Linked DNA regions of Sus scrofa. Each later gene encodes a partner of the first gene's protein in a complex. Links are inferred from orthologs where the notes say so. Each region holds a gene or a part of one and is shown in the gene's direction. Other genes may lie near its edges.

Region 1 (10,019 bases):
TGCAGACGCGGCTCGGATCCCGCGTTGCTGTGGCTGTGGTGTAGGCCGGTGGCTACAGCTCCAATTCGACCCCTAGCCTGGGAACCTCCATATGCTGCGGTAGCGGCCCTAGAAAAGACAAAAAGACAAAAAACCAAAACAAAACAGGGAAAAAAAAAAAAACCCAAACCCCACAACTTATTGTAGACAAGGAATTAGCAGTAAAGGCTACTATTAAGCCTCAGGATTTTACTAGATGCATGGGTAGTGCAGCCATGAGTTTTCCCTGAGCAGTGATGGGAGGTAAAAGGGAGGCGATGGGATTTGCAGCTTTGCTGTGGATACTTTCAAAGATACAGAGGCTCATTGTCATACCGTACTTGTTATAATGCCTTGTAATTATTGCTGACTTGTTTCCTGCTATGTTGGGTTTTTTAATCTCTTCAAGGGTGCAGTCCAAAATTCTTGTTTTCGAATATATCACATAAGTGCATTCATGCATGCCCAGCCCCCATCCCAGCAATGCACGCGCGCGCGCGCGCACACACACACACACACACACACACACACACAGACATTCACACTGAGGACTACTGTTTTAGGGTGGTGTTGGTTTTCTATGATTCTATATACAATAAAAATTGGGGAAGGCTTTAGGGTTGATGTCCTATTACAGTTTGTCAAGTATGTTTTAGTCCATATCTTTAGAATGTCCTTATATTGATGGTACTACATAAGAAGCCCTCTTCAGAGATTTTAATTGGTTCGCTTATAACTATGGCAACTATATGTCCTAGATTTTCTAGGATGTTTCTGATTTCAAGGACCGATTTAATTGTCTAAATATACAAATAACAGAGCATGAGCTCCATTTGCAGCTCAGAAAACATGATCATTATATTTATATTCTATTTCTACACAGACTCTGAGAACGGTACTGTGTGGCTGAAATGCTACTCAGAAGAGCTGAGCAAGAGCTACCAGGAACAACATGCTGATTAGTTTTTCTAGCTGGAGCCCAGGAACAGGTTTCTCCTCCCTGTGCTTTTGTTTTTACCCTCTCTCACCCATCTCTTCCTTCAAGCCCAACCAGTATGTTAGGGAGGGTCAAGAAAAGTAGTGGAAGAGGCATCACCAGAATTTTGCCTTTTGCAACTTTTTGTTTAATGTTGGAATTGAGGAGGTCCCATCGTGGTGCAGCAGAAACGAATCTGACTAGGAACCCTAGGTCACGGGCTTGATCCCTGGCCTTGCTCAGTGGGTTAAGGATCTGGCGTTGCCTTGAGCTGTGCTGTAGACTACAGATATGGCTCAGATCTTGTGTTGCTGTGGCTATGGTGTAGGCCTGCAGCTGTAGCTCCGATTGGACCCCTAGCCTGGGAACCTCCATATGGTGCAGGTGTGGCCCTAAAAAGCAAAAAAAAAAAGTTGGGATTGAAAAATCAGAAACCTTCTTTTGGCAATTCATTTGTGAGGGTGATTTGGATGTCTAGGTTTTTTTTTTTTTTCTTTCTTTTTTTTAAAGAATGGGCATTAGGAATGATTGAAATTTTGACAGCAAGAGCATGTTTGTTTGAGCTCCCGCTGTGGTGCAATGGGATTGGCAGTGTCTTAGAGCTCTGGAACACAAGTTCGATCTCTGGCCCAGCACAGTGGTTTAAGGATCTGGTGCTGCCCCAGCCTCAGCATAAGTCGAAACTATGCCTCAGATCTAATCCCTGGCCTGGGAACTTCCCTATGATGCGGTGGGGGGGGGGGGAGAAAACAAAAAGCATTATTTATTTGCAGCTTTAATTCCAAAAGATGTGACATGGTGGGAAGATGAGAAGTCACTCAGGATGAAGGAATTGGAAGGTGATATTGCTTGATGCCTAAGCTAGGATTGGTGAAGAATTAAACCACTGCTCAGTTCTCCACTCTACATCCAAGTAGACCATTGACATCCAATGTTTTTACTTAGAGTGCTGGCTTCTTGGCCTGAGACTGCAGAGAATATTCTGTTGTGTTCTTGTATATACTGGAGTAGGTCTCACATGAATAGGACGATTCCTTGGTAAGATGCCCTAGAACCTGGGAAACAAGACACAGCTGTGCTTCAGGAAGACCAGGAGTTTTGATTGAACTTGACGTTATAAAAATTGCAGTTAGGAGTTTCCATCGTGGCCCAGTGGGAAGTATTAATAATAGTAATTACTAAGTATTAATAATAGTAATAATAGTAATAGTGGGAAGTAATAAATTCAATACTCTGCCACTGACCAGAGTTAGAGGTGAAAAAGACATAGTCTGTGCCCTACAAATTTCTACAGGAAAAAATCAGCAAATAATTGGAGTTCAAAAATGTTAATACATTTTTGTGTATACCTTTGCCATGCTGTTTTGTGGCTGGCTGCCTTTAATGTTGAAAAGGACTCTCTGAGGATAATATCATCGCTAACGTAAATCCTAAAGAGAGTACATATGCCTCTGTAAGACTAAGGTCATATGGGTAAACTTACATGTCAGAGAGTATTTAGCAATAAAATTTTGAAAATACATATGTAGATAATTTAAGCATTATTTATGTAACTTGTAGAGGTGAAATACTGACCTAGAAATAAAACTCCTCAACTTTGTTGTAGTTTCAATTCCTCCACTAATTAATGCTGTATTTGTCAATCACTTTCCTCTACCTCCTCCTCTTACGGTCTAATATAAGCTAATGTAATCGAAGTGGAAGGAGACACAGAAAAGTGAATGCATTGCATGCAAATAATTAATTTTTTCTGCTTTCTCACATGGAGATTTGAAAACCATAGTATTTAAAATTTTATTTTACGAAAAAGAAAAAAATGCATAGCTCACGAAATAAAGCTATAGGCCAAATACAACGGCGTTTTGTTCTGTGGTTACTTGCAAAACTAAAATAAAGACTACACTTTGCCTCAGGGATTTGTTCACAGGGATCTAGGAATGGTTGCATTAGGAGAGTGCACCTCCCTTAAGGAACTGTGAGTTCCTTTAGGAACGAGGTTGTATCTTTCAACTCCTAGAATACTACCTTCAAAGTGTGCTTTCTTAAACTTCCTTGTAAGTTGCTAAGTTAGATGTCTCTTCTGCGGCAAGACCACAACTCCCAGAAAGCCATGTTCTTACGGCGCTCACCGAATAAAGGCGAGAAAATCCCAGCACCCATCGCGCCAGATGGAGACTACAATTCCCACTATAGCCAGGGGCTCCGGAAATCTGTCGAACACCACCTGTTGCCATAGCATCCGGGTCTGCACCAACCAATCCGAGAGTCCTTGTCCAGTAGAGGCGGGCCGTTTGTATTTTCGGCCAATAAGAGGCATTTTTGTTTTGGCGCGTGACCGGAGGAGGCGGGAGCTCAGGACCGGCGCCTTCTCCTTGCTTCTTGGGGTCGTGGCCTTGCTCCCGCTGTGCAAGGCGAGAGTCCGGGCGCGTCCACGCGCGTGTGTGCGCGTGGGACCTTTAGAGTTCGTGGGTCCGCGCTAGGTCTCTCTGGGGGCAGAAGCAGAAGCTATGGGCGGGACGGCTAGCACTCGTCGGGTCACCTTCGAGGCGGACGAGAATGAGAACATCACCGTGGTGAAGGGCATCCGGGTGAGTGACAGTGGGCGGGCGGAGGGCCGGCCCTTGGACTCGGACCCCTTACCTCTGCCTTCTTTGGGTCCCGCTCAGCCTGGTTTTCCCCGTCTGGCATCCCTAGTCTTTTCATGCCCGAAGCCGAGTTGCTTGCGAAGAAGTTTGAAGTTTTTCAAGACTTGGGACATTCATTCAGAGATATTTCCTCGTTGTGTGCCAAGTGCTGGGCACTGTGCTGGAGCGGCTGGGGGGATGCTAGATTGACCTAGACCCTCCAGGGGCTCAGAGTCCAGTCTAGACTGTATTGCTTAGTAGTTGTGGAACTTTATTTGAACCCCTGCCTTACTGTACTCATCTGTGAAATGGGGCTTGTCTTACTTCTCCTGGGTTCAGGACACACACCCTGCTTTTGCATTGCCCACATCACTTCTCTGTGGTTGAATTGGCGTTTTAATGAACCCTTCAACTGCTGTCTCTCATTTAGTACTCCCACTGACGGGGGACGGCACTCAGTCCCTTAACACACACCTTAGATTTTCTGCCCTGGCTTGGGTGAATTCTGGTTTCTCCCTCCTTGCACTTGACATCTTGTCTTTCCCAGGCGCCTTCTCTGTTAGCCTGCCATGCCTAAGTTTTGGACTGGGCCCAGTTGCTTCAAGAGTAGCGTCCGCCAGCCCGATAGGACTTGAGATAGGATTGCAAGTTTCCATACCACTAGAAGTAGTACAGTCAGGTCTCACTGAGACATTGGAGAACATTTTTAAATGCCCTTGCGTATGCCTGATCCATAAACTGAAAACTTGATTTTTCTCTAGGATGTCAGTATACCAGCACTAACTTCATTAACACGGGCTTCCGCAGCGCCAGAATTGGGAGCGTCACATTTTTGGAAGTAGGATACCTGAGCCTTGTAAATAAAGCAATTTGACTTAAGGAAGTTTTATACTGTTTTCTGTTTTTTTTTCCCTCTGGTATTACACATCTCGCATAAGTAAATGAGTAAATTATTTTTTGCATTGGTTACTAGGAATTAAAACTTCTTAAATATTTAAGGTGTTAAAAAACTTCTTACTTTGGAACTGTTAACTTGAGAAGAATTTAAGTTTTTTCTAGAAACTCAGGCTTTTGAACTCAATTTTTGGTCTTTGACCAGCATTTTCTTATATTAATTGATGATGGGTGGTACCATGGCTTGTAGTAGAATATCTGAGACTGCATTCTTTGTGTTGTGTGGTTTAGTTGGTACTCTTTGGAGTAAAATAAACATTTCTGTAAATTCTTGGTTTGTGCAGAGATTTGTTTAATCTTGCTTTTAGGCTTTGAAAGTTCCACACCAGAGGGTGGAAAAGAAATAAAAGATAAAAGAAAAATAAATTTTGGGTGAGAAGACATTGACTAGAAAAATGTGGAAATCCATGTTCTCATTGCTCTAGTACAGGCACAGTGATGACAGCAAACTAAAAGAGATATGGGCCACAGCACAGAGATTTATATCAGGTATTAGATAAAGTTAAATAAGATAAGTGCGAAAAAGGGTTGATAATAGATTAAATGAAGAGATTGGGAGTTCCCGTCATGGCGCACCAGAAACAAATCCAACTAGGAACCATGAGGTTGCGGGTTTGATCCCTGGCCTTGCTCAGTGGGTTAAGGATCTGGTGTTGCCATGAGCTGTGGTGTAGGTCGCAGATGTGGCTCGGATCTGGCATTGCTGTGGCTCTGGCGGAGGCCGGTGGCTACAGCTCCAATTAGACTCGTAGCCTGGGAACCTCCATATGCTGCGGGTGTGGCCCTAAAAAGACCCCCCCCCCCAAAAAAAAGCGATTGGCTCAAAACCCCTTTTAAAAAACTTAAAAAATTTTTTTAAAAAGAAAAGAAGCTTTGGCCACCGAACTTGGTGGTTTTTCTTTCTCATAGAACACATTTTATATTTTTGAAATTCAGGCACACACCATGCTGATTTTGACCTCCATGCTTTGCTCTTCTTCAGTTATACCTTTCACCTGGAATGCCCTTGCATCGTTTTCCCTGTTGCTTCAGATCCTTTTTCAAGGATGATTTTCAATCTCTGAGCTTCAGTCTTCTTACCTGCAAAGGGTTTGAGTCTATCTCTGAGAGCTCTGATCTCTTCCACTTCTGAAATTCTGTCAGTCTGGTGGCACTCTTAAGTTTCTTGTAGCCACACTCAGCCTCTTGCACTTTCCCCTAAAAATAACATGCTCTTGAATTGTTGAGTACTCAGGGGTCATTCTGATTTCTTTGAGGTCATGGTCAAAAGAACATCAATTTAGAGTTAAACAGAACTCAGTTAAATCTCACATTAGGCATTTAACTAGCCTGCACTTCTTTGGTTATATTTCCTTATCCCAAAGGGGAATGTCATCTCTTCTCTTGATTGTGGTAAGATGAAGTAAGGTATTTAAAGCACTTGGCACTTGGAGATTTTTTTTTTCTTTTTCTCCCTCCTCCCTTCCTCCCTCCCGTCCTCCCTTTTTTTTAATGGCTGCATCTGTAGCATATGGAAACTCTGTGCTAGGGGTTGAATCAGCTGTAGCTGAGGCCTATGCCACAACCACACCAATAGCGGCTTTGAGCCACATCTGAGACCTTTGCTGCAGCTTGTGGCAATGGCGGATCCTTAACCCACTGAGCAAGGCCAGGGATCGAACCTGCATCCTTACAGAGACCATGTCAGCTTCTTAACACGCTGAGCCACAACAGGAACTCCACATTGAGTTTTAACAAAAGGCAGCTGTTATTAATATGATGGAATTCCTCCCACACCTGATGTTCTAAGATTCTTTGGATGTGCTGTGTACTGTGGTGGAAAGAGCATGAACTTTGGAGCCAGGCAGACCTTAGTTTGACCCTAGCTTTGCCTCTCACTAGCTTGTGGCCTGGGACAAGTCACTTTCATTGTGTTTCCCTGTTGGATATGTGGATAATGCAACAAACTTTTGATACTTTTGTATCAAGTACCGCTTGTGAGGACTTGCTATGTAAGCATTTCCACAGTGATTAGTACTTAAATGAGTAGTAGCTGTTATTGGAGCTGGTCAAGGGGATAGATACCTAACCTTACATGAACTGAAAATAATAAAAATAAGAGCATATTGTGTTCCTACATGTGTACCTAAGGGGGTGTGGACTGGGGAAGGGGAGCCCTGAGTTCTGCAAACGATTGCCTGTGTGACTTTTTTTTTTGTCTGTGTACTTTGCAGATTTTTTTTTTTTTTTTTTGGTCTTTTTTGCTATTTCTTGGGCGGCTCCTGCGGCATATGGAGGTTCCCAGGCTAGGGGTTGAATCGGAGCTGCAGCCACCAGCCTACGTCAGAGCCACAGCAACGCGGGATCCAAGCCGAGTCTGCAACCTACACCACAGCTCACGGCAACGCCGGATCGTTAACCCACTGAGCAAGGGCAGGGACGGAACCTGCAACCTCATGGTTCCTAGTCGGATTCGTTAACCACTGCGCCACGACGGGAACTCCTTTGCAGATGTTTTTAAGCTGACCTTTATATTTTTCTTAGGTCAAAAAAGTCCTCTTGTTTCTCTTGTAGCTTGGGGAAGGATAAGAAGCAATCTTAGTATCATAAGTGAGCCACAGTTTTTAGCTCAGTTGATTGAATCACCGTGCTGTTGAGGCCCGATTTCGGTGTTGAATTGCAGATAGGTTTGTTGAACTTGGCTGAGGAAAGTGTTCCAGATTTACCCAGTTGTCTAACATTCATGCCGTCACTCATAAGAGTAAGCGTGTGCCAGCAATGCGGTAGATTCAGTCACTGCTGGAAAATCAATTTTGTCTTCCACTGATAAGGATAATAATTTCATCTTCATTTATGTTAATATATGAAGAGTGACATTTAGTAAGCAACATAAGGCTTTAAGTAACTAGGTTGTGTTTATTAATAGATCATGTTTTCTGATGTTTTTGGCCCAGGTCCTCAAACAGGTAGCAATTAAAGGACCTACTTACACTTTTAAGTTTAAAGTTTCTTCTCACTTACCAGGTGTCATTTATAAGGGGACTGCTGTCCCCCCTCCTTTTTTTTTGTTGTAGCTTAATTTATTTATGATATTACATTTTTCCTTGTCAACTGTTAACTCTCCTTGGGGTGGGTCTCTTCAGCCTTTGTATGATGTCTAACAGTCCAGAATGCTTTATGTTCAAATTTCTATTAGCATTAAGAATTAATCCTTATAAGCAATGAGATCCTGCTGTATAGCACAAGGAACTATATTTAATCACTTGTGATAGAACATGATGGAGGATAATGTGAGAAAAAGAGTATATATATATATTTATGTGTATGACTGTCGCTTTGCTATGTAATAGAATTTGACAGAACACTCTAAATCAACTATAATAGAAAAAATAAAAATCTTAATCCTTTATTTTCTCCACTATCTATATTTTTTAATCATTAGAGCTTTCCGCTTTTTCATGTTGAATATTATTGGGATAAACTACATGAAAATATATAGAAAAATGTTCAAATATTTCAGAATATATTTTTTAGGGCATTAGTAAAGAAAGTATGTCTTTAAAAACTCTACAATACTCCTGAAGATACATCTTTTGGAGCAGTGGGGAAAAAAGCCAGATTAAAAGAAAGGATGAACTCCAATACTGTTTATTTCATGTATGTAATGCATATATATTTGATGATCAAAAAGAGAGAGATCATTATTTAATAAGTTGATAGCAAACCCAAGGTTTTGTTTTTGTTCTTTTTTAAAAAAAGATCTATTCTTTAAGAGAAGAATATTTAAAAGACCTTTGCTTTAAAATCTCTATAAATCTACACCCAAGAATGACCTTTATGATAGCAGGAGGAAAGAAAAAAACAAGGCCTTTCTGCTCAAAATATCTTACCCACCCTGACCTGAAATTCTCACTGGGAAATGCCTCTCCACCATGCAAATCTGTTGCCAGAAATTAGTGACACATTGGACTGGTGGGAATGAAGCTGGGCTGCCTCCTTCCATCTTTGCTCACTAGAAAGATGGATCCTTGGGCCACACCCAGTTCTACCTCATCAGAAATTGGGATTTGCATTTTCAGCAGACTCTGGACACCAAAGCGCTACCTTAGACTGTGAAAAATTAGAATGGGATAAATGAATTATTTGTTCCTTTACAAAGCTCCTCCCCCAAGGAGACAAAGGAGGGAGCAGTTTTATGATGATGCTTGGTGTCCCTCCCTCCTTTATCCTTAGCTATTGACAGCTCTCCCCTTTCCACAAAATAACCTGCATTCTAACACCTGATTCCAACTTTGACTCTGATTCCATGGGTTGGATCAAAGGCCATGCTCTTGCCCTGCCCTCCTCTCCAAGTGTAAAATAAGTTTCTTGTGATAGAAAGACCAAGCATTTTGATGACTCGTATTACATGTGCTTAATAGGCTTTTTCTGAGCACCTGCTGTGTCTGCTTAGCGAGTGTGCCTTGCTCTCAGTCTTTCACAAGTTTATCTGAAACATCAAAGCTGTGAGTGAACTCTTCCAGAGCAAATGTCAACTTCAATAAGTAGCATTTTCAAAGTAATATTTATCATGCTTTCCAGGCATAAACTAATCTTTGCAACTGCCCTTGAAGTTGCAAGCCGAAATTCGCAGGAGCCAGTGTGGTAGTAAGGATTCTTACGTGGAACACAGCGAGTGCTTTGGGAAGTGTTGGCAGTTGAGAGCCCCTAAATGAAGAGTTTTTTTTTTTTTTACAAATGTGGGATGTGGTTAAGGAGCCAGGAGAGGGTACATTAGCTGAGGCTACAAATTCAGTCAGTCATTGGGAGTGTTGAGGAATGTTGTCGAGGTAGATGATTGGTCCCTTTGTACTTTAGATTCCGTGAGTCTCTTGGCTATGTGTTACCATGTTAAACTTTCTAGGATTTTATGCAGACAGAAGTTCATGGTTTCCACTAATAACAAATGCAGAGAGTACAAGTGATAAACGACAGGCTTAAGCTAAAAATTACATTTTGGATCCCTGTACATATAGATAGATGGTATTCCCCCACCCTCTGTTAGTATTTGGAAGTGATTTCTTCCAAATAAGAGTAGCAGTTTTTGAAGCCTATGTCTTGAACTGGTAGTTGAAAACAAAAGGACCTATGCTGCATGGAAAGAAGACCAGGTGAGAAAAAGGGTCCGAGTCCTTTAATTGGTTTGATAAGAAACACCTCGAAGAAGTTGAGAAAGACGATTCTGGCGGTGAAGATATTTGTTTCTGTCTCATGTGGTTCCTAACTCTACCTCTTAGAGATGGGCAACTTAAAAGGGGTTCTTCTCTTCCTTTTACTCCATTCTTCGGAAGTAGAAATATTTCATCTTGCCCAGTCTCTTGTTTCTGAGAAAATGCTGGATTCCAGGTGGGTGAGTGGTGTTTATCTGTGCTGATTTTTAGGTAAGACCAATGTGGGTGGGAAGAGATGCTTAGGAAGATTGCAGAAGG
Region 2 (9,916 bases), on another chromosome or scaffold:
CATTGCTTAACCATTCTAAATGTAAGTTGCATCTACTAACCCCAAACTCTTTGTCCATCCCACTTCCTCCCCCCTCCCCCTTGGCAACCACAAGTCTGTTCTCTATGTCTATGAGTCTGTTTTGGATTTATATTAAAAATCTTATTACAGAGAAATCTCTAGGCCCAGATGGCTTCTTTAGTGAAATCTAGTAGACATTTAAGGAAGAAATAATGCCAATTTTAAACAAACTCTTCCAAAAAATAAAGAGGAAACTCTTCCCAATTTGTTTTATGAGGCCAATAAAACATTAATACCAAAATCTTAAAAGAAAATTACAAACCAATAACCATCATGGACATAGATGTAAAAAAATCCTAAAGAAATATTAGCAAATGAAATTGAGATATATAAAGAGGAAAATGTATCAGTCTGTTTAGGCTGCCACAACCAAATATCATAGACCTGCTGGCTGAAACAACAGAAATATATTTTCTAATAATTCTGGAGGCTAGAAGTCCCAGATCAAGGTGCAGTAGGGTTGGTTTCTGGACACCATTAAAGAGATAAAAAGACACATCATAGTGTGAGAGAAGATATTAATAACACGTATAACTGCAAAGTGCTTGTAGAAAGTCTTATAAAGAATAGCTATAAATAAATTAGAAAAATGGACAACACAATAGAGAAGTTGGCAAAAAACTTGGATAAGCACTTTATGAAAGATAACATCAAAATAGCCAGTTGAAATATGAAATGGTGATCAATTTCATTAGACATGAGGGAAATGAAAATTAAACTTGAATGAGATACTACTAAACATCCACCTGAATGGTTAAAATAAAAAATGACAATGCCAATTGTTGATGAAGGTGTTGAGCAACTGAAATCTTCAAACACTACTGGTGAAAGTGTAAATTGGTACAATCCCTATGGAAAAATTTTTGACTGCATCTACTAAAGTTGAAAAAAGGCATGCAGTATTATCTAGCAATTCCGCTCCTGTCTTCTGTCCCATGGCCAGTTTCACTAAGGCAAAAAACAGCTGTAAATGGATTCCCATTGAATTCACTCTGGGTCAATCTGATGGTCCCTCACCTCATGCTCATGCTATGCTCTTTTCACCTTGCATCCCAGGGCTCCCCTGTTGACGTGAAAGCATGTGGTGCTATAGACCCACCCAACTATAGACCATCTAAATTGGTGGGTTGGTTAATGACATCCTAGTTACTCACTGTTTAAGACTTTTTCAAACTGGTCTGACAAATCACTGATTCTGACAGTGATCCTTGTAGACTTTTCCCTAAATGGTTGGGAGTCATGCAATTATTTTTTATGCTACTCTCCTATCACATAGCCTTAGTCATAGACAAAGAATGTCTTTATGGTAGACAGACTTCTGAAATGGCCCCAAATGATTTGCCTCCTGGTAGTCAAACACTTTATAATCCCCTCCCTTTGAATGTGGGCTGGAACAAGTGACTCACTTGTAAGAATAGACTGTGGCAGTATGTCACTTATATAAGTGATTAAGCTGCCTCTTTCTAGACTGTCTCTTTCTTGCTGACACACTCTTGTCTTCTTACTTGCTTTGATGGTTTTCTATGAAGAGGTATATAGATCAAGTAACCTAGAGAGGTCCTCTGGCCAACAGTCAATGATGAACTGAGGTCTTCAATCCAACAATCCACAAAGCACTGAATCTTGCCTACAATCACATAAGTGAACTTGGAAGTGGACCTTTCTTCAGTATAGCCTTCAGGTATGACAACAGCCCTGGCCAACAACTTGATTGCAGCCACGTGAGAGACCCTGAAGCAGAGGACTCAGCTAAGTCATGCTCAAATACCTGAACCACAGAACCTTTGAAATAAAAAAATGTCTATGTTTTTAATCCAATAAGTTTTGGAGTAATGTGTTATACAACAATGACTGATACAGCCTTATTCTTGACTTTAGAAACCTTGTAACTGTTTCTTCCATTACTTGGCAGTTGAAAAAAAAATCACTCAATTAGAGTAGCCTACACTCAGTTACTTGGACTTCTCCCTTGAAATATTTATCTAAGATGAGTTTAAAACTGCCTGTCTTCTCTAACCTACTTTTATCTGATTAAGTTCTGTATATGTATTATTTTGAAGCACCATATATTATCTATAGGGAACTACCTCACCTCTATCAAATGCTGTCAATTAATGATTTTAGAATTATCTATTTAAAATACCTACCATCCCTAGTTAATAGGTGAACACATAATCCAAGATGGACCAATCAGGCACTCTTTCTGTGGAATTTAAATTTTGAGCAGTGTAGTAGACATTATTGGGGGGTTTGGTTGGTTGGTTCTTTTTTCTTTTTTCCTTTTTCTTCTTTGTTTCTGCTTCCTTCCTGCCCTCCTTCCCTCCCTCCTTTTTTCCTTCCTTCTTTTTCATTACTAAGACCTAACCCCCTACCATTGGGTGGAATCCTTGATTCTTTGAGTTTTTGTAGGAGGCATACCCTACCTCCCAACCTCCCCAAGAAAAGAAAATATCAGCTATTTCCTCTCTCAACACTTTGACATGGGCATATATTTAGGCTTGTCCAGTGGGAGGCTTTCATATGGGACTTTGAATCTTGAAGGAATAACTGAAATATGCATAGCTATCCTGTGTAGCAACCTTAGCTGTGTTGCCTGCATCTTAGCCTTCACTGATTCCTGCTCACATTTCTGATCCTGTCTTTGGACTTTCTCTTAATTTGGTTAATTGCCTAATATCTTCCCAAATTATTTTATATTTAATTTAGCTAAAACTGCTAACAACTATTGCTTACAACTAATACTTATGATGGATATAAGAAGATTGCACAAAATTGAAAATTGTTAGAACACACACTTTTAGACAGTGAGGCCTGAAACTGATTTCCAATTAGTTTCTTCTATCTAGGTTCCTCTTGCTATCTTGTTTGCTGTCTTTTTAAAGGGATGGTTATTTAGATTTTCTTTTGATTCTGTTATTTATCTCTAATAAGTTCCATTTTTGTTTATATTATCCACAACTGGATATTATTGCTTGCAATAAAAAATGCTGACCAATACAGAGGATGGTATCAGAAATAAAGAGTAGTTCAGACAGAAAGGTGTAGGGATTTTGAATTCTCTTAGGCCTCTAGATCCTCCCAGATAGCCCCATTCAAATATTAGACTATCACCCTTTCTTGCTCAAAGCTTTAAATTTTCACATAAACGACCCATCAAGGTTAGGTATAAATTCAACTGAAATAATTTTAGAAATCCAAAGAATCAAACTTTGAGTTTGGCTTTTAAAAATCTCAGCTTTTTTTTGCCATGAGAAGTAAAGGGACTTTTTTTAGTGTGGCCACCAAAAGTCCTTTAGATTTATCATATGCCTTAAGGTAAATTTAAGAAGTTGCACAAACTTTTCCTCTCATGTTAAATTAATGCCATCCTGACACACTGGCCTTTTTATTATTATTATTATTGCTGTTCCTCCTGTGTAGGACCTTCTTCCCTAAATTCCTTCAGGACTTTTCTCAAATGTCAAGTTATGAGACAGCCTTTCCCTAACCTATCTAAACCAGTAAATTCCCACCCCATCCCATACTGTTTTATTTTTCTTCACAGCATTTGGCACTTTGCAACGTTTACTTGTTTCTCTTCCTCCTGGAAGCTTAAACTCCGCGAGGGAAGATACCACGTTATGTACTTTACTTTGAACAAGTGCCTGGCATATAGTAAATGCTTAGTGATACAGTCTTAGGCTGTATGAACTTGCCCATGTATTGCAGAGGTAACAGGTTCTTTTCATGACTAAACCACTATTTAAGATAGTTGGACTTGGATTTTAAGTCCTCATCTAGACAAATCACTTATGCCTAAAACAACGAATATAATGAAAAGTTCTCCACCCAGCAAAGTAACGTTCAAGTGGACTGTGGAGAATATTAACGGCGTTACCAAGAATAGCGACAATCAACCACATGGTTGAACCTTTTCTCCGGAAGGGAGCTGGTGAGCTGCAGTAGCTTCCCAGAGCCGCACCGGAGAGCTGGGGAAATGGGCGGAGAAAAGGCGGAGCCGACCAGCGAGGCATGGGACTGGGAGGTGCAGTCGTGCGTAGAGCCTAGTTGAACTGTTTTGTTCCTTTCCGCTCTCCGTGTGAAGACCTGGGCGGAGAGGGTCACAGATATGGCGGCCTTTAGGGTAAGTAAAAGGTACCTTAGTTTTTCTGGGTTCCAAGAGTACTTCAGTAACTATAGAAGTGATCCTCCTAATTTCAGAAGGGAGCTCCACAGCTAGAGGTGAGGTGGAAGTGGGGTTGTGAGAGAATTGGCGAGGTCGGGGACTCTTTAACGTTTGAAGCCTCAAGACACCTGCCTCTCCGCTTTAGTTTCCTCAGCCTGGGACGATACTCTCTCCTCAATTCTCTGCGGTCGACCGTTTATACTGCGGCAGAGTGAAAACTGCCAAACGGCTGAGTGAAAATGGCCGGCCGGGGCAACGAGCAGAGGAGACTTGGGTTTGAACTGAAACAAAGAGAAAGGAATCCCGGGCAGTTGTCTGGGTGCACAGGGCGGGGCCTCACGACCCTTTGAAGGACTTTGTTCAAACGTTATTATTTAGGGTGAAAGAGACCAGGATAGAGACATCCCAAGTCTCTGTGTTGAGCGGGTTTGTATTCACTGTTGTTATTCTCCGAGTTTGAATAACAAACCTAAGTTTCTTTTGAGTTCCATAATGGGAAAAGGTGCCTTTACTTCGGAATCTCTGTGCAGGAAATGACTCAACCGGCTGCTAGCTGCAGTTCCCTAAGTAGATTTCATTAGCTGTAGTGGACACAAGTCTACTCTTCTAGTCCATGATTTTCTTTTCTGTGGAAAGGTTCATTTGTGCTATATATTAGATACCAGATCTAAGTGACATCATATGGTATTTGTCTTTCTCTTTATGACTTACTTCGCTCAGTATGAGAGTCTCTAGTAGACTTGTGGTTGGGCGGGGAGGGATTGGGAGCTTGGGGTTAATGATGCAAACTGTTGCTTTTGGAATGGATTAACAATGAGATCCTGCTGTGTAGCACTGAGAACTATGTCTAGGTACTTAAAACAGAGCACGACAATGGGAGAAAAAAATATGTATACATGTATGTGCAACTGGTCCCCATGCTGTACAGTGGGGGAAAAAACATGTTGGGGGAAATACCAATAAAAAATAAAAAATAAATTAAAAAATAAATAAAAATAAAAAATAAATTAAAAAAAATTTTTTAAAAAGTAGTCGACAAATATCAATGAGTAGATGAGTATCTATGAGTAGATATTTGTACCAGGTTTTAAGTATAGAATGCACTGTGCTTGCAGGAGATACAAATATAAATAATTCAGGCTTAGTATCTGTCTCGATTCACCATTCTCAATCCATTTCTGTTTTCAGAATTTAGCTGAATTATCACAACACCCTTCTAACTGGATTGCTGCCTCTAGCCTGGCTTTCATGGCATTTATTTTCCTCTGCACTGCCAGAGTACTAAAATGCAAATCTGATTATGCCCTTCTACTGCTTAAAGACCTTTATTGGCACCCTGTTATCTGCCCTCCGGGGTCAGGTCAGACTGCTTTGTCTAGGACAGCCTACCCTGCCTGGCTTTCCAGCTTCATTTTCTGTCTCTCAGGATATCTTCCAACATCTGTACTCCAAACCTTTTTCATGTCCTTTCTCTGAGCCTGAAGTATCTATCCCATCCTCATCTAGTTAGTTCCTACTCATATTTCATTCATTCACTTAGCAAGGATTTGTGTGCTGCCTTCTCATATGCTAAATACAAAATGCCTTTTCCAGGATAGTGTCCCAGACCTCCCCAGTCTAATTTAAATAACTCCTTTTTGTGCTCCCAGAGGACCTGGGTACACTTTTGCCATAGGACTTACCACACTGCAAATAATAAGAGTATTTACTTGTCAGTTCTACCCTTTTAAACTGTAAGGTACTTGAGGACAGTGATTGTAATATATTAACTCTTGTATTAGTACATAAATGCCAGGTAATGAAGATAAAAGAGATTAAATTAAGCAGTGAAGGTGCATCATACAACAAATGTGATTCAGAGTAGGGGAAGTGCCTGCCTCAGGAGAAGTACAAAGTGACCTGAAGGTTCTGAAGAGAGAGCTCACACCTGGTTGAAAAGAAAAAGAGATCATGAAGGAAGTACAGAGAGAAAAGGACGGGTCAGTGGTTAAAAAGCAAACCTGAATAGTGTGTTGTCACTGAAGCCTAGAGAAGGAGAAAGTTGAACAGTCTTTTGATTTGGCCATTAATAAGTCACTGGTAGCTGCCATTTATTAAGTGCTTACTACAAAGCCAGGCATCATGCTAAAATACTTTGCATGTGTTATTTCGCTTAATTCTCAAGACAACTTTATGTTGTAGATATTATCATCACCATTTTGCAGATGAAAAACTAAGGTTTAGAAAAGTCAGTAGTATCCCCATTTTTTTTTTTTTTTTGTCTTTTTGGCATTTCTTGGGCCGCTCCCGCGGCATATGGAGGCTCCCAGGCTAGGGGTCTAATCGGAGCTGTAGCCACCAGCCTATGCCAGAGCCACAGCAACGCAGGATCCGAGCTGCGTCTGCAACCTACACCACAGCTCACGGCAACGCTGGATCATTAACCCACTGAGCAAGGGCAGGGATCAAACCCACAACCTCATGGTTCCTAGTCGGATTTGTTAACCACTGCGCCACGACGGGAACTCTAGTATCCCCATTTTATACATGAAAAACTTAGGGAAAAAAATGCTTGCTCCAGGTTATACAGCTACTAACTTGAAAAACAAGGTTCGAACACAGGTATATTTCTCTTCAAAGTCCCTGATCTTTCCACTGCTCCTTGCCTCTGAAAGGGAGGTCTTCAGAGAAGACCTCCTTAGTCTTACTCATTAGTCTTCAGAGAAATGTTGTGGTGAGAGGTAGGAAAGAAATCTTGAGATGAGGTAGCAAATTCCAGAAAAGGTGTCTTATTGTTTTAAAAAGTAGAAGACTGTGTGCCAAATAAATCTCAGTAAAACTGGGGGAAAAAATGTCAAGAGACCTGAGCAGGTTTGGAGACAAGGGGAAATGTGCCAAGAACTAGTATAGAAGAAAGAATTAATAATAGTGATCACAGCTGTTTTATGCTATTGAACATTTCCTGTTCTAGGTATTTTGCTAAACATTTGTGAATTTTTGCATTTATGCTTCATAGTGTCCCTATGAGTAAGTGCTATTATTACCAGCATTTTACAGATAAAGAAACTGAAGCTTTAAAAGGTTGAGTAATTTTCCCACAGTCACACAGTTGTAAGTGGTAGAGCTGGATCTGAAATCCCACCATATGAGTCCAGGTCACGAGGCTTAAGCTTGAGGATGCATCTGTGAGGCGGAGGTATAAAAAAGGGTGATCTGTGGTAATTTTGAAGCCCCAGAGTTTTAATAACAAGGATTAAGTTAGAGAGGAGTCCTGAATGTTGGAAAATAACTCTGAAAATAGTTTACATATATTTTGAAATATAAGAGCTTTTTGAGCGGATGTGATTGTGAAACACTGATTTGGAATTAGCCTTGAGAACGAGAACTGTACTGATTTATCCTCCTGACTTCTTCTTAGGCGAGTGTGGTCATCATACTACACCATGGAACCCATCTCCTCCTGACTTCTTGAATCAGAGAGAATGGCTGGAGGACTGTAGTAGTGTTGAAAGCCAAATTTCATTAATGCCAGAGATTGATTGAATATGAGAAAAATTTGGGTTCTGAAAGATACCTGTTTATAATAGAATGCTTAATATTGAAATATGGCTATCATGTATTGAGTATTTCCTTTGTGTCAGACACTGTACTACACTGTTGATGAATATTATTTCATTTAATTCTCAAAAAGTTTTCTATGGTAGGTAATTTTATTAGTTCAAAGAACAGTAGTAGAGCAGTAAGGAAATCAAACCTGGAATAGGGGATTGTATTCAGAGAAAAGTTTGTTGAGTTTAGGATTTTAGCTATTAACAAGTTCTGGGGAATGGTAAATTCTGGGTGTACTGATGGAGTGGTTAACCACAGTGGAGTGAATACGAAGGTCTAAGAAAGTGAGGTCAAAGAACAGTCAGGTGAGGCTTTTGAGTGATTTGCCCACATGGACATTAAAGTCACTCAGAGTTATGGCAGAATTTAGGGTATAGAAGAAGACCATTAACCAGAATCTTAAATCTTTTATGTGATGAAGTAACCAGGAGGCAGGTGCTAAGGATGAGTAGATGAGCCTCAAAGAAGACTTACTTTTCTTTCCTTTTTTCTATTTTTTCTGTTGAAGTGTAGCATACATATGATAAGGTACACAAATCATAAACAGTTTGGTAAGTTTTCAAAAAATGGTCATACTTGTTCAACCAGAACCACCTCCGAAAAAGAACATTACCAGTAGCCCAGATCTCCCCTTTTTTCCTCCTTCACTGTAGATTAATTTTGCCTGTTTTTGAACTTTATGTAAGTGGACTACGCAGCTTTCTTTCTTTCTCTCTTTTTTTTTTTTTTTTTTGGCTTATTAGGGCCTTATCTGCAGCATATGGAATTTTCCAGGCTAGGGGTGGAATTTTGGAGCTGCACTACAGCTCATGCCATCGCTGGATCCTTAACCCACTGAGTGAGGCCAGGGATTGAACCCTCATCCTCATGAATACTAGTCAGGTTTGTAACCCACTGAGCCACAATAGGAACTTATTTACTCTGTTACGCCTGGTTTCTTTTGCCCAGTATTATGTTTATGAGATTTAGCCGTTATGCATGTATATTAGTTCATCCATTCTTATTGCTGTATGATATTCTGTAAGATGAATATATCATGATTTATTTATCCATTCAACTATTTATGGACATTTCAATTATTTTCAATTTGAGCTATTAACAAATTATGCTTTTATGAACATTCTTGTGTATGCCTTTTTGAACACATTGTGCATATTACTGTTGAGTGTACACCTAGGAGTGGGATCGCCAGGTCATAGGGCATGCAGCTTTGGTAGCTACTGCCAGATAGTTTTCCAAAGTGGTTGTACCTCAAAGGACAGTCATATTTCATTTCAGCAAGGAGCAAAGAGAGTAGACACAATGCAGGGGCATTTGGAGTTTGGGGGAGTAGAAGGAAGTTTGGTTAGTGGAGAGAAAATGCAGAGCACTGTAGGGATTAGAGATGATAGGTGACTCAAGAATTGTGTTTTGGGGCTGGAGCCAAGGGTGATGGGGATGGGAAGGAACATGGACAACATAGACCTAAAGGTTTCAGGATCCTTGATAATACCAGCCATATATTCTTTTGTGTCAACTTTAGTCCTTGTCTCTTTCCTCTACTTTGTTTCATGTAATTGATACCAGAAAATAGTTGGAACGTAACAAAGTGAAGTTCATTTTCAGTGTAACTTTGAAAATTATTGCTTTGGAACCCTTAAACATACTTGATATAAGTTCCAGGATGTTGCTTTATGCCATAAAGTGAAAATGATCTGTACTTTGCCTCCTCCCACACCCATATGACTGAACTAACTCTTCCCTGAGATGCCATCCTCACATATGGCTATTAGGTGTTCTGTGAACCTCATTTAATATGGAAATAAAAGATTACTTGACGTGGACCCTAAAATTTTTACACAATAGGCTCATGTGAGTCAGTATTTCTTAGTTTTAGCTGTGCATTAGGATCATCTGGGAAGCTTAAAAATGCCTGAGCCCCACCTCAGATGGGGCCTTTTAATGTTTTAAAAGCCCACCAGTGATTTAGATGTGTTGTTGGGTTCAAGAACCAGTCTTTTATACAAGTTATAGAGAAAAGAGTATTAGGCATTTTCAGTTGATGAAGAACAGGCAGGTTCAAGTTATCTTCAAGTAGTAGTTTAATGGAAAGATATATAGATA
Region 3 (10,121 bases), on another chromosome or scaffold:
TGGTGGCTACAGCTCCTATTAGACCCCTAGCCTGGGAACCTCCATATGCCTTGGGAGCGGCCCTAAAAAAGGCAAAAAGACAAACAAAAACAAAAACAAAAACCAACACTATCCAACTAGTTGAAGTGCTATGAGAATAGAACATACAATAGGTGAAGCTACAGTAGGCCCAATTTTCTTCTGGGAGTGAATGACCATGCCCTAAAAAAGGAAACTCCCTTCTCTGATCTTTGTTTGAACCAGGGTCTTCTCAGTCAGGTCAGAGTATTTTTCTACTTTTCATCATGTCCCAACACGGGCAGACTGTAGGGATCTCACTCTCCAAGAACTAGCCCCTTTGAACCCCATCATTACACCTCACATGGCTACATGCGAAGGGGGTAGGCACTCCTGTTTAATGCCACTGTTGACTCGCAAAATGCAGATGATAAGATGTTGAATAGAAAAGACCTCAAGTATGGAAACATACCCTTCGATACTAGCCAATGCCATTTATTAGCTGTTTAACCTTTTGCAAATCAATTACCTTCTCCTAGTTGCTGCTTGCTCACTTATGAAATGTAATAATAAGACTGCATCACAGGGTTGTGTCAGGATCAAAGAGATGTGTGTTAACATGCTTTGTTAGTTATGAAATACTATAATTATAATAATTATTCTTAAATTCAAAAGTAATTTTAAAACACACAAAACCCCTCTAATTTACAAAACAAGAAGTGTTTGATGTTAGCTGGGTAAATACTATATGGAAACTGTCCAGTTGTGGAAAATGATACAAGGTGAAAGACAGCTACTTACTGTTGTTTTCCCTTTGTCTTTACAGTATTTGACAAAGGTACTTTGGGACCTTTTCCCAAGGCTGGATTTTCTGATTTTGGAACACCAGTAACTGACGTCTTCATGGAACGACTCATTTTCCTTACAATGAAGTACTCTGAAAGTATATAAATTAAACATTTGAAGTCGTAATCTATATTATTACACTGTCTGGATGAGACTCAAGTGGCATACGATTATTGAGCTAATTCCAGAACCCTTGAAAAAGTAAGGTTTCATGGATCTCTTAATGTTGCTTACATTCTTTCTGTACTAAAAACAATATGATATATATATGGGAAAGACAAATGGATCTATCCATAGCCGCCTATGCGGTCTCCTCGTTTCCAGTCTTCAACCTCCTAGTCATCCTCTACTCGACAGCTGGAGTTAACTTTTTAGAGCAATAATCCAAACTTAAAATCTCAATTTAAAATCTTTTAGGGGAGTTCCCGTTGTGGTGCAGTGGTTAACGAATCCGACTAGGAACCATGAGGTTTTGGGTTCGATCCCTGCCCTTGCTCAGTGGGTTAACGATCCAGTGTTGCCATGAGCTGTGGTGTAGGTTGCAGACGCGGCTCGGATCCCACGTTGCTGTGGCTCTGACGTAGGCTGGCGGCTATAGCTCCGATTGGACCCCTAGCCTGGGAACCTCCATATGCCACAGGAGCGGCCCAAGAAATGGCAAAAAGACAAAAAAAAAATCTTTTAGGGACCCCCATTTCCTCCAAGCTAAAGTCTAGACTCCTTAGAAGTGCATTCAAGGAGTTCTCTTGTGGTGTAGTAGGTTAAGGATCTGGCATTTTCACTGCTTAGGTCACTGCCATGGTGTGGGTTCGAGCCCTAGCCTGGGAACATCCATATGCCAGGGACGAGGCCAAAAAAAGAGAAATGCATTTATGTCTTTTCACAATCTAGTTTCACTCTCTTTCAAATCTCAAAATACCAACTTTCCATCAGCATCCTTTCTATACCATCTGTGAGAACAAGAACTTACCAAAATTAATGTTTTGTAATTCTGTGCCGCTGATCATGACATTTTTTTCCACCTAGATTGACTTCCCTACCACCAGTAAACATCAATTCATCCTTTAGGACCCGAGGTAATTGATGCCTCTTCTTTGAAATTCTCCTCCTTCTATTTTTTACAGAACTACTCACTGGTGTCTCCAAGGTCCCATAATACTGTATGTGTTTTTCATTTACATTACCTCTCACATTGCATCAAAATTTTGTTTCTTGGCTGTCACCCCAACAAGCATGTTGAAGGCAGGAGGCATCCTGCTAACTATGAAATTCCCAATGCCTAGAAGAGTGGAGGGTTTTTACATGCTTTCTAAAAGCTTTTCATCCTAGTTTTATCACGGAACATCTGTGAGACTATGGGCAAGTCCCTTAATCTCTCAGTAGCTCAGTTCCTTGCCTAGTAAAGTGAGAGCATGTGTAGTAAGTGATCTGATTCCACCTCTGATTTTCTATCCTTTGATACATTACTCCAATTTGGAAGCAGTTTCCAATTCTTAGTAACTGCCTAGTGTCTTGTACTAAACCAGGGCCTCTTTATCTTTTCTTTTGGTGCTGTGGACCCCTATGGACAAACTCCTTCTAAGAACTATGTTTTTCGTTTAATTGAAGGATAGTTGATTTACATTGTTGTATTAATTTCTGCTGTACAACAAAGTGATTCAGTTATACACATATATGTGTACATACAGATACACACACACATATATATTCTTTTTCATATTCTTTTCCATTATGGTTTAACACGGGATATTGAATAAGAATTATGTTTTTTTAAACCCATAATCTAAAATATATAGGGTTACAAAAGACTTCAATTATATTGAAATCATTGTAAAAATATTTTCAAAAACAAAATTATAGAAATGTCTTCTTTATGCATTAAATAAAATAAAAAATGAGAGCTCTAATAATTACAGTACTTGTGAAGTGGTAATGAGCAGAAATGATATTTCAAGAAATCTGCTGTGACTATAATATGATATGAAAATATCTGTGCTTTCTACTGATGACAAAGTCATAGGTACCGCTGAACTACTGTGGTTACCTACACCACAATTTAAAGAACTGTTAAAGTTCAGTTATAGGTTAGTGAAAATAAAGTTGTAATTTTTCCCCAAGTTCATGTACCTCCAGAATTAAGAATTTCTGCCCTAACTTACCATTTATAAGTCACACTCTTATACACATATGACATTCCATTACTGATGCAGAGCCTTCAGAGTCTCCTAAATAGTTCTCCTTAGGTATAGGGAAGGCTAGGGATATACAATTCTCTTGAGAAAGAGAAAAGTAGCCCTTAACATCTGGGAGCTGGCCTGGCACCCACACCTGGGCTTTCGTGTTAGCCCTGGCTTCCTAGCACCACCCAATCCAGAACAAGGACTCGCTTCCCTGAACTCACCCGCAAACCCCCCAACCAAAGCCCCAAATCCTAGAATAAATCTAACACCCTCTTACTGAGATGCCCCACCGTTTCCCAAGGGTGCGTTCTCCTGGCACCAAAGAGAAATGAACTCAGCTTGTTCAACTACAGTATTCTTAGTGATCTTGGCTGGAGAGCAGTGACACCGCACCAAACTCCCAAAATCTTCTGGATGCCTGCCCCGGATGGGCTTACATTTGCTGCGGGATTAGAATGAAATACAGAATGAAACATGAAATACAACCCCGGTATGAGACACTACAACAGTTGTTTACTTGCGATCACAGGCTTTAAAGCCAGGCTACTGAGGTTTGAATCCTGGCTTCCCACTTTCCTTCTGTATGACCTTCCACATATTACTTCTCTGAGCCTCGGTTTCTTCATGTATTTGACGGGAGATAATAATCGTGCCCACCTACTTGGGTTGTTGGAAAGAAGAGTATGTGTAAGGAGTTTACATCAGAGCAAGTTACATAGTAAACGCTGTTGGTGGTTGCTATTCTTGTTAATAAGATAATTTTTGTCATTATTACTTATTTCTACTCTAATTAAAGGACAAACATTTGATTCCCTGTGAGAAACATACGCTTAAGCATTTTAAAGAAGAAAAAAATGTCGGGCTCTTTCAAGACTAAAGGACAAGGCAAATTAGTTTAAATTTAAAATCTTGGAAATGGCTAAACAAGGGTGAAAAAAAAAACCCCACAAAACTAAAAACCTTTTGTGAGGTAAATCCAGGCCCCCGAGGTCGGTAGCTTCCGGCTGCGAGGCTTTCGAAGCCACCAGAGGCCTGCCGAGCGCCCCCGCCCGGCGGCCTCCGCACACAGGCTTCCCAACCCACGCTGCTGGCGCCCAATCACGGCGGCGAAGGCCAATTCCCAGCACGGCTCTGCGCTCGGCGCCTCCCTCCTAGCGCCCCCGCGTGCCGCCCACACTGAGCTGGCGCTTTCCCGCCGCCTAGCAACCGCCGGCGCAGGGGCGGAGCCTCCGGAAGGCGGGGCTTGTGTTCGCCGCCTGAGGCGCGACGCGCTGCAGCTCAACGACGCTGCTAGCAGCCCAAGCTTCCGAGTTAAGCCTTAGCGGGATCGAATTGGCTGTACGCCTGTTACCCGCACCGCGGCCCGCTTGCGGTCGGAGGAATCGGGCCCTAATCGGCCGCCGTAGTTACCTCTCTATAGTGGGCGTGGCCGAGGCCGGGTGACCCCGCCGGAGCCGCCGCTGCCAGCGACATGTTCAAGGTGAGAGTGTCGAGCCGGGTCACAACTGTCACCGCCCCTTCCCGGCCGCCTGCAGCTCTCCCCGCGCTCTTTTGGGCCTCTCTGGGAACCAGAACTGGCTCGCTTTGAGGCTTTTCCCGCCTCCGGGCTGCCTGTGTCCCGGTCCCGAGGGTCATTCACCGGTCCGCCTGGAGTTTGCGGTTGAGGCACAGGAGGCGGGAGATTCGAGGGTGGTGGGTTGGGCCCTTTGGTCGTGCTCTCGGGAATAAAATGTTTTAAAAAGTTAAAGTATCCCTCACAGTATCCACACTCTGGCTGGTGCCCTCTTGAGTTCGTGAGTAGGGTTAGGCCAGCTTAGGGCACCGCGGGGTTCGGCTTTGGTTGTGCCGGGCAAGGTCAGGTTTTAGAACCTGGTATGAATGGGGGAGGTCACCTTCGGCGAAGCTCCTGCAGGAAGTCGGGGAGACTGGCATGGGAATGGAACGGCTGGGTTAGGGGAAGAAGCTGGACTTTCTCCTCCCCAGTGAACATTATATAGTATGGACAGGTCGAGCCCCTTCTTTACAGTTTTTGAACTCGTGTCCTTTGAAAGACTTTTACAGTGAAGACTGTTTCGAAAATCTGCATTTTAACATGAAGCCATTATTCTCCTTCAAAAAAAGTAAATGATATTTTTTATAATGAAGAACAAATCGCAAGCTACCAGAAATGAGTCTACAAAATTGAGTCAAGAAGCATTGTACCCATAAAAGACTGCTAATGAAATCTCAGAATTATACTACTCATTTAAAAGTGTTTTTTTTTTTTTTTTTTTTTTTTTTGCCTTTTTCCAGGGCCGCTCCTGTGGCATATGGAGGTTCCCAGGCGAGGGGTCTAATCAGAGCTGTAGCTGCCGGTCTACGCCATAGCCACAGCAACGGGACCTGAGCCGCGTCTGCGACCTACACCATAGCTCAGGGCAACTCAGGATCCTTAATCTACTGAGCAAGGCCAGGGATCGAACCTGAAACCTCATAGTTCCTAGTCGGATTCGTTTACCCCTGAGCCACGACGGGAACTCCTTAAAAGTTTTATTGAGTGCCTACAACGTGCTTTGGGTACACTGGGACAGGCTCTAAAGTCAGAATGTGGGTTTGGCCTTCCATTCCTGGAGTTGCCACGTTCTAGATGTGTGACCTTGAGCAAGTCACTTAACCTCTCTGAGCCTGTTTTTTTATTGGTGAAGTTAGGGAAACAACATTTACCTGTAGGCTTGTTATAAGGAATAAATAAGTTAGTATGTGTAAAGAATTTGTAAGAGGCCCTGGCACATAGAAGTGACATCCAGGTATTTGCTTTTATTTTGTTTTCAGGTAGCTCACAGTTTAGTTAGGACAACAGATCTCATAAGCAACTTGGTTTTGTTTGATAAATTTGTGTTGAATACCTATTATGTGCTAGGAGCCTGGCTTAGTTTGAGGGTTGCAACAACAAAGGGTACACTGTGTTGCGACAATAAAGAGTATGCTGTGATCATTTCATATGGTTATCAGCAGTGTTCTGTGGTGGTGAAAAGGAGAGTATCATCTCCTCTGTTTTACCAAGGGTTCTTAAGCTGTGGTTCTTGGCCCCTTAGAAGGTCTGGATAGAATTAAGAGGATCTTTAAATTCTGGCAGGGAAAAAAAAAATCAGTTTCATTAATCTGCTGAAATTTAGCATTTCTTTCAGTTATGAATGTAGGTTAACAGTTTCAATTACCAGTTTCCAGATAATGACCTTAAAACAACAGTGATTTATTACTTCTCACCATCTATAGGTTGTCTGGACAGTTCTGCCGGCATCCTCTAGTGACAGAATTCAACTGGTGGCTATACTATGAGGTAGCCTTACTCTCATATCAGTGGGCCTGGGGCCCCTCAATGTGGCTGTTTTGGGCTCCCTTACATGGTTACTGGGTTCTAAGAAGCCTAGTCCCGGTGCATAAACACATGCTTATATCGCATTTGCTGATGTCAAAACAAGTCACATGGCCAAGGCCCGAGTCAGTATGGTGTGAGGTTACAGAACAGCACAGATACGAGAACATGTGGTTCATGGGGAGCAATTAATTAAGTTACTACAGCCACAAACTAGTGGTAGTCACCAATAGAAGTCAGCAGGACCAATGCATGTCACAGACATTTTCATATCACATTACAGTGGTTCCAGATCTCAAGATATTTATGCTTATCACTGCTTTAAGATTATAGTAGTTATGGGACTTCCCGTCGTGGCGTAGTGGTAACAATCCGACTAGGAACCATGAGGTTGCTGGTTCGATCCCTGCCCTTGCTCAGTGGGTTAACGATCCGGCGTTGCCGTGAGCTGTGGTGTAGCTCGCAGACGCGGCTCGGATCCTGCGTTGCTGTGGCTCTGGCGTAGGCTGGTGGCTACAGCTCCAATTGGACCCCTAGCCTGGGAACCTCCATATGCCGCCGGAGCGGCCCAAGAAATGGCAAAAAGACAAAAAAAAAAAAAAAAAAAGAAAAAGAAAAAGATTATAGTAGTTATAAGACTCTCTAATAGGTTTTTTTAACTTAAAGAGCTAATAAAGAAGTACACATTACTATATCAGATTTGGGGTTTTAAAAACAACTATATTGCAATATAATTGGCATTTATAAAATGCAGTTAGAAGCATTATTTTGAGAAGGGGTCCCTAGGGCTTACCAGACTGCCAAAGAAGATGGTGGCACAAAAAAGGCAATGAACCCCTGGGGACTTCAGGTGAGGCAAGTTTTGAAAGCCAGGAGTTCCTCAGGTGGATGAGCCACGGAACAGCAGCAGTGGTACTCCATGGGGGAAGTGCTGGTAGATCAGTTCTTCTGTATCAAGGGAAAGATAAAGGGAGCTGAAATTGTTGAAACATGTACTTTGAGTCGAAAAGCTCACAGCAGACCTTGTTGGATACCAAAATTTAAGGAGGAGTATGAGGAAGAGGGGAGCCCAGAGATTTTGAGAAGCAACCTGATAAGTAGAAGTAGGAGCACCAGAGTGATGTTTAAACAATTAAGGGAGGGAAGTTTCAAGGGCAGGCTATGTTAGAATGCTCTCAGGTGGGAAAATCCAACTGCTTAAATAGTAAGGAATTTTTTTTCACAAAATGCAGAGGAAGGGTGGACTTTACTGGGTCAACATTGTTTTCAAGGTCCCCATCTCTTTTCTTGGCTTTCCACAGTTAGACTGGTTCTCCTTGTGGTTGTAAGATTGCCAGTAACACATGCTTTCCCATTCACTAGAGTAAGAGAGAGAATAAAACTCCCAGGCTTGAACTACAGTTTCCCTTCAATCTGATTGGACCAACTTAGGTCAGGTATTTGGCCCTGACCCAATAGCTAGTGCTAGGGGAATGCCATGCCCTGATGTGCCTAGACTAAGCAGAATCAGCCCAGGATGGGGTCAGTTTACCTTAATCAACTTGGAGAGAAATGATTCCTTGAGCACAATGGGGTAGTGGAGACTGGATGTGTAACAACAATGTCTATTAGGAAGGATGAGTTAGATGAGCTTGGAGAAGTGTTTGCTGATTTGGGCAATTTGGAAAGCTTTCATGATGGTAGTGAAAGCTAGATTAATATGGGTTGGTGACTGAAAGCTGAGTAAATGAGGTTTATAAGCTTGACTATCAACAGAAGGAGGGGGAATGTGGTAGCTAGAAGGACATGCTTGGTCAAGATTCTAAAGTCGTTTTGTGAGATTTGGCAATGCTTATGGCCTCTGGAGGAATGTGGGAAGGGAACTTTTATAAAAGAGACTCCCTTGGCTTTAAAAAAGGATATTCCCTTCTACTAATGAGATGGAAGGGAAGGAAGGGTGGGAGTGATTAAAGACTAATGGTCCTCAACTGGATGGTACCACCTGCCTCAGGTATGTCTTAGAAACTTGGGTGACTCTTCACATTTTTATTTGTGTTGAACATTTATTTATATATGGAAATATAATGCATATAAATCTTTCCTGTTTGTTGTCTGTTGTGTTACCATAAAATAAATATACTGTCTCTCTTTTTTTTTAGACTTACATGTGTAGGTAGGTGATGAATTTTGCTTCAAGATAATAAAACTTATTTATTTTATTTATTTTTTGTCTTTTTGCCTTTTCTAGGGCCGCTCCCGCGGCATATGGAGGTTCCCAGGCTAGGGGTCTAATCGGAGCTGTAGATGCCGGCTTACACCACAGCCACAGCAATGAGGGATCCGAGCCGCGTCTGCGACCTACACCACAGCTCACGGCAACGCTGGATCGTTAACCCACTGAGCAAGGGCAGGGCTCGAACCAGCAACCTCATGGTTCCCAGTCGGATTCGTTAACCACTGTACCACAACGGGAACTCCAGCAAGACTTATTTAAAAAATTATTTGTCTAGTTTTCTACACACTGCAGCAAGCAAGAAAGAAAATTACTTGTCATAAAATGGCATTGTTAGGTCTTATAGGTGAGAACCAGTGCTTCACAGACTTTTTTTTTCTTCATTTTTGCTTTTTATGGCTGCACTTGGAGCTTATGGAAGTTCTCAGGCTGGGGGTTGAATTGGAGCTGCAGCTGCCGGCCTACACCACAGCTCATAGCAATGCTGGATCCTTAACCCACTGAGCGAGACCAGGGATCAAACCCGCATCTTCATGGATACTAGTGAGATTTGTAACCTACTGAGCTGGAACTCCTTCACAGACTTTAATGTGGATGTGACTCTTGTTGAAATGCAGATTCTGATCTAGTAGGTCTGGGTAGGGGCCTCAGAGTCTCCTTTTTTTTTTTTTTTTTTTTTTTGTCTTTTTAGGGCTGCACCCACGGCATAGGGAGGTTCCCAGGCTAGGGATAGAATCGGAGCTACCGCTGCCTACGCCAGAGCCACATCAACGCCAGATCTGAGCCATGTCTGCGACCTTGACTGCAGCTCACAGTAATACCGGATCCTTAACCCACTGAGCGAGGCCAGGGATGGAACCCAAGTCTTCATGGATGCTAGTCAGGTTCATTAACCACTGAGCCACAACAGGAACTCCAGAGTTTCCATTTTTTAACAAGCTCCTGAGTGATATAGATGCTGCTCATCTCCTAGCATACTTTGAATAGCAAGAACTGAGGCAAATTAGTAGATAGATGGTTTGTGTTTTTGAGGTGAGTGGTATCATGAGCTTGGTAGGATTTGGAAGAGACATTGACCAGAGAACAGAAGATATGTGAGAAGTTCCTATTGTGGCTCAGCAATAATGAATCCAACTGGTATCCATGAAGGTGCAGATTTGATCCCTGGTCTCCCTCAGTGGGTTAAGGATCTGGCATTGCCTTGAGCTGCAGCATAGGTCACAGGTGTGGCTCAGATCCTGAGTTTCTTTGGCTGTGGTATAGGCCGGCAGCTACAGCTCCGATTTGACCCCTAGCCTGGGAACTTCCATATGCTGTGGGTGCAGTCCTAAAAAAAAAAAAAAAGGCTTATCATTTTGTATACACTACACTACACTTGTATACACTACAAGAAGATAGGTGAGAGGCTTTGAGGGCTCTGCTGAGAGCTATTACCTGTGATCTATCATGACTGCAGCCTGGGAGTGGGGATGAGCAAATGGTAGGGTTTGAGAGTTACCAGCTTGGGTCAACTAGGACCGGAAGGCAAAAG

What was found. Proteins that work in one complex are often made in the same cells at the same time.
Region 2: CHCHD3 (region 1) and APOOL share a complex: the UniProt entries of both Homo sapiens proteins name them as parts of the mitochondrial contact site and cristae organizing system (MICOS) complex. The link is inferred for Sus scrofa from reciprocal best matches to the Homo sapiens genes CHCHD3 and APOOL.
Region 3: CHCHD3 (region 1) and APOO share a complex: the UniProt entries of both Homo sapiens proteins name them as parts of the mitochondrial contact site and cristae organizing system (MICOS) complex. The link is inferred for Sus scrofa from reciprocal best matches to the Homo sapiens genes CHCHD3 and APOO.

The regions. Positions count from the first base shown.
Region 1 is NC_010460.4:16,049,302-16,059,320, forward strand, and holds the start of CHCHD3 (MICOS complex subunit MIC19), read left to right. Parts: upstream 1-3,337; 5' UTR 3,338-3,501; coding exon 3,502-3,582; intron 3,583-10,019. UniProt on the Homo sapiens protein: Component of the MICOS complex, a large protein complex of the mitochondrial inner membrane that plays crucial roles in the maintenance of crista junctions, inner membrane architecture, and formation of contact sites to the outer membrane.
Region 2 is NC_010461.5:68,277,744-68,287,659, forward strand, and holds the start of APOOL (MICOS complex subunit MIC27), read left to right. Parts: upstream 1-4,037; 5' UTR 4,038-4,168; coding exon 4,169-4,183; intron 4,184-9,916. UniProt on the Homo sapiens protein: Component of the MICOS complex, a large protein complex of the mitochondrial inner membrane that plays crucial roles in the maintenance of crista junctions, inner membrane architecture, and formation of contact sites to the outer membrane.
Region 3 is NC_010461.5:20,011,906-20,022,026, reverse strand, and holds the start of APOO (MICOS complex subunit MIC26), read left to right. Parts: upstream 1-4,242; 5' UTR 4,243-4,494; coding exon 4,495-4,503; intron 4,504-10,121. UniProt on the Homo sapiens protein: Component of the MICOS complex, a large protein complex of the mitochondrial inner membrane that plays crucial roles in the maintenance of crista junctions, inner membrane architecture, and formation of contact sites to the outer membrane.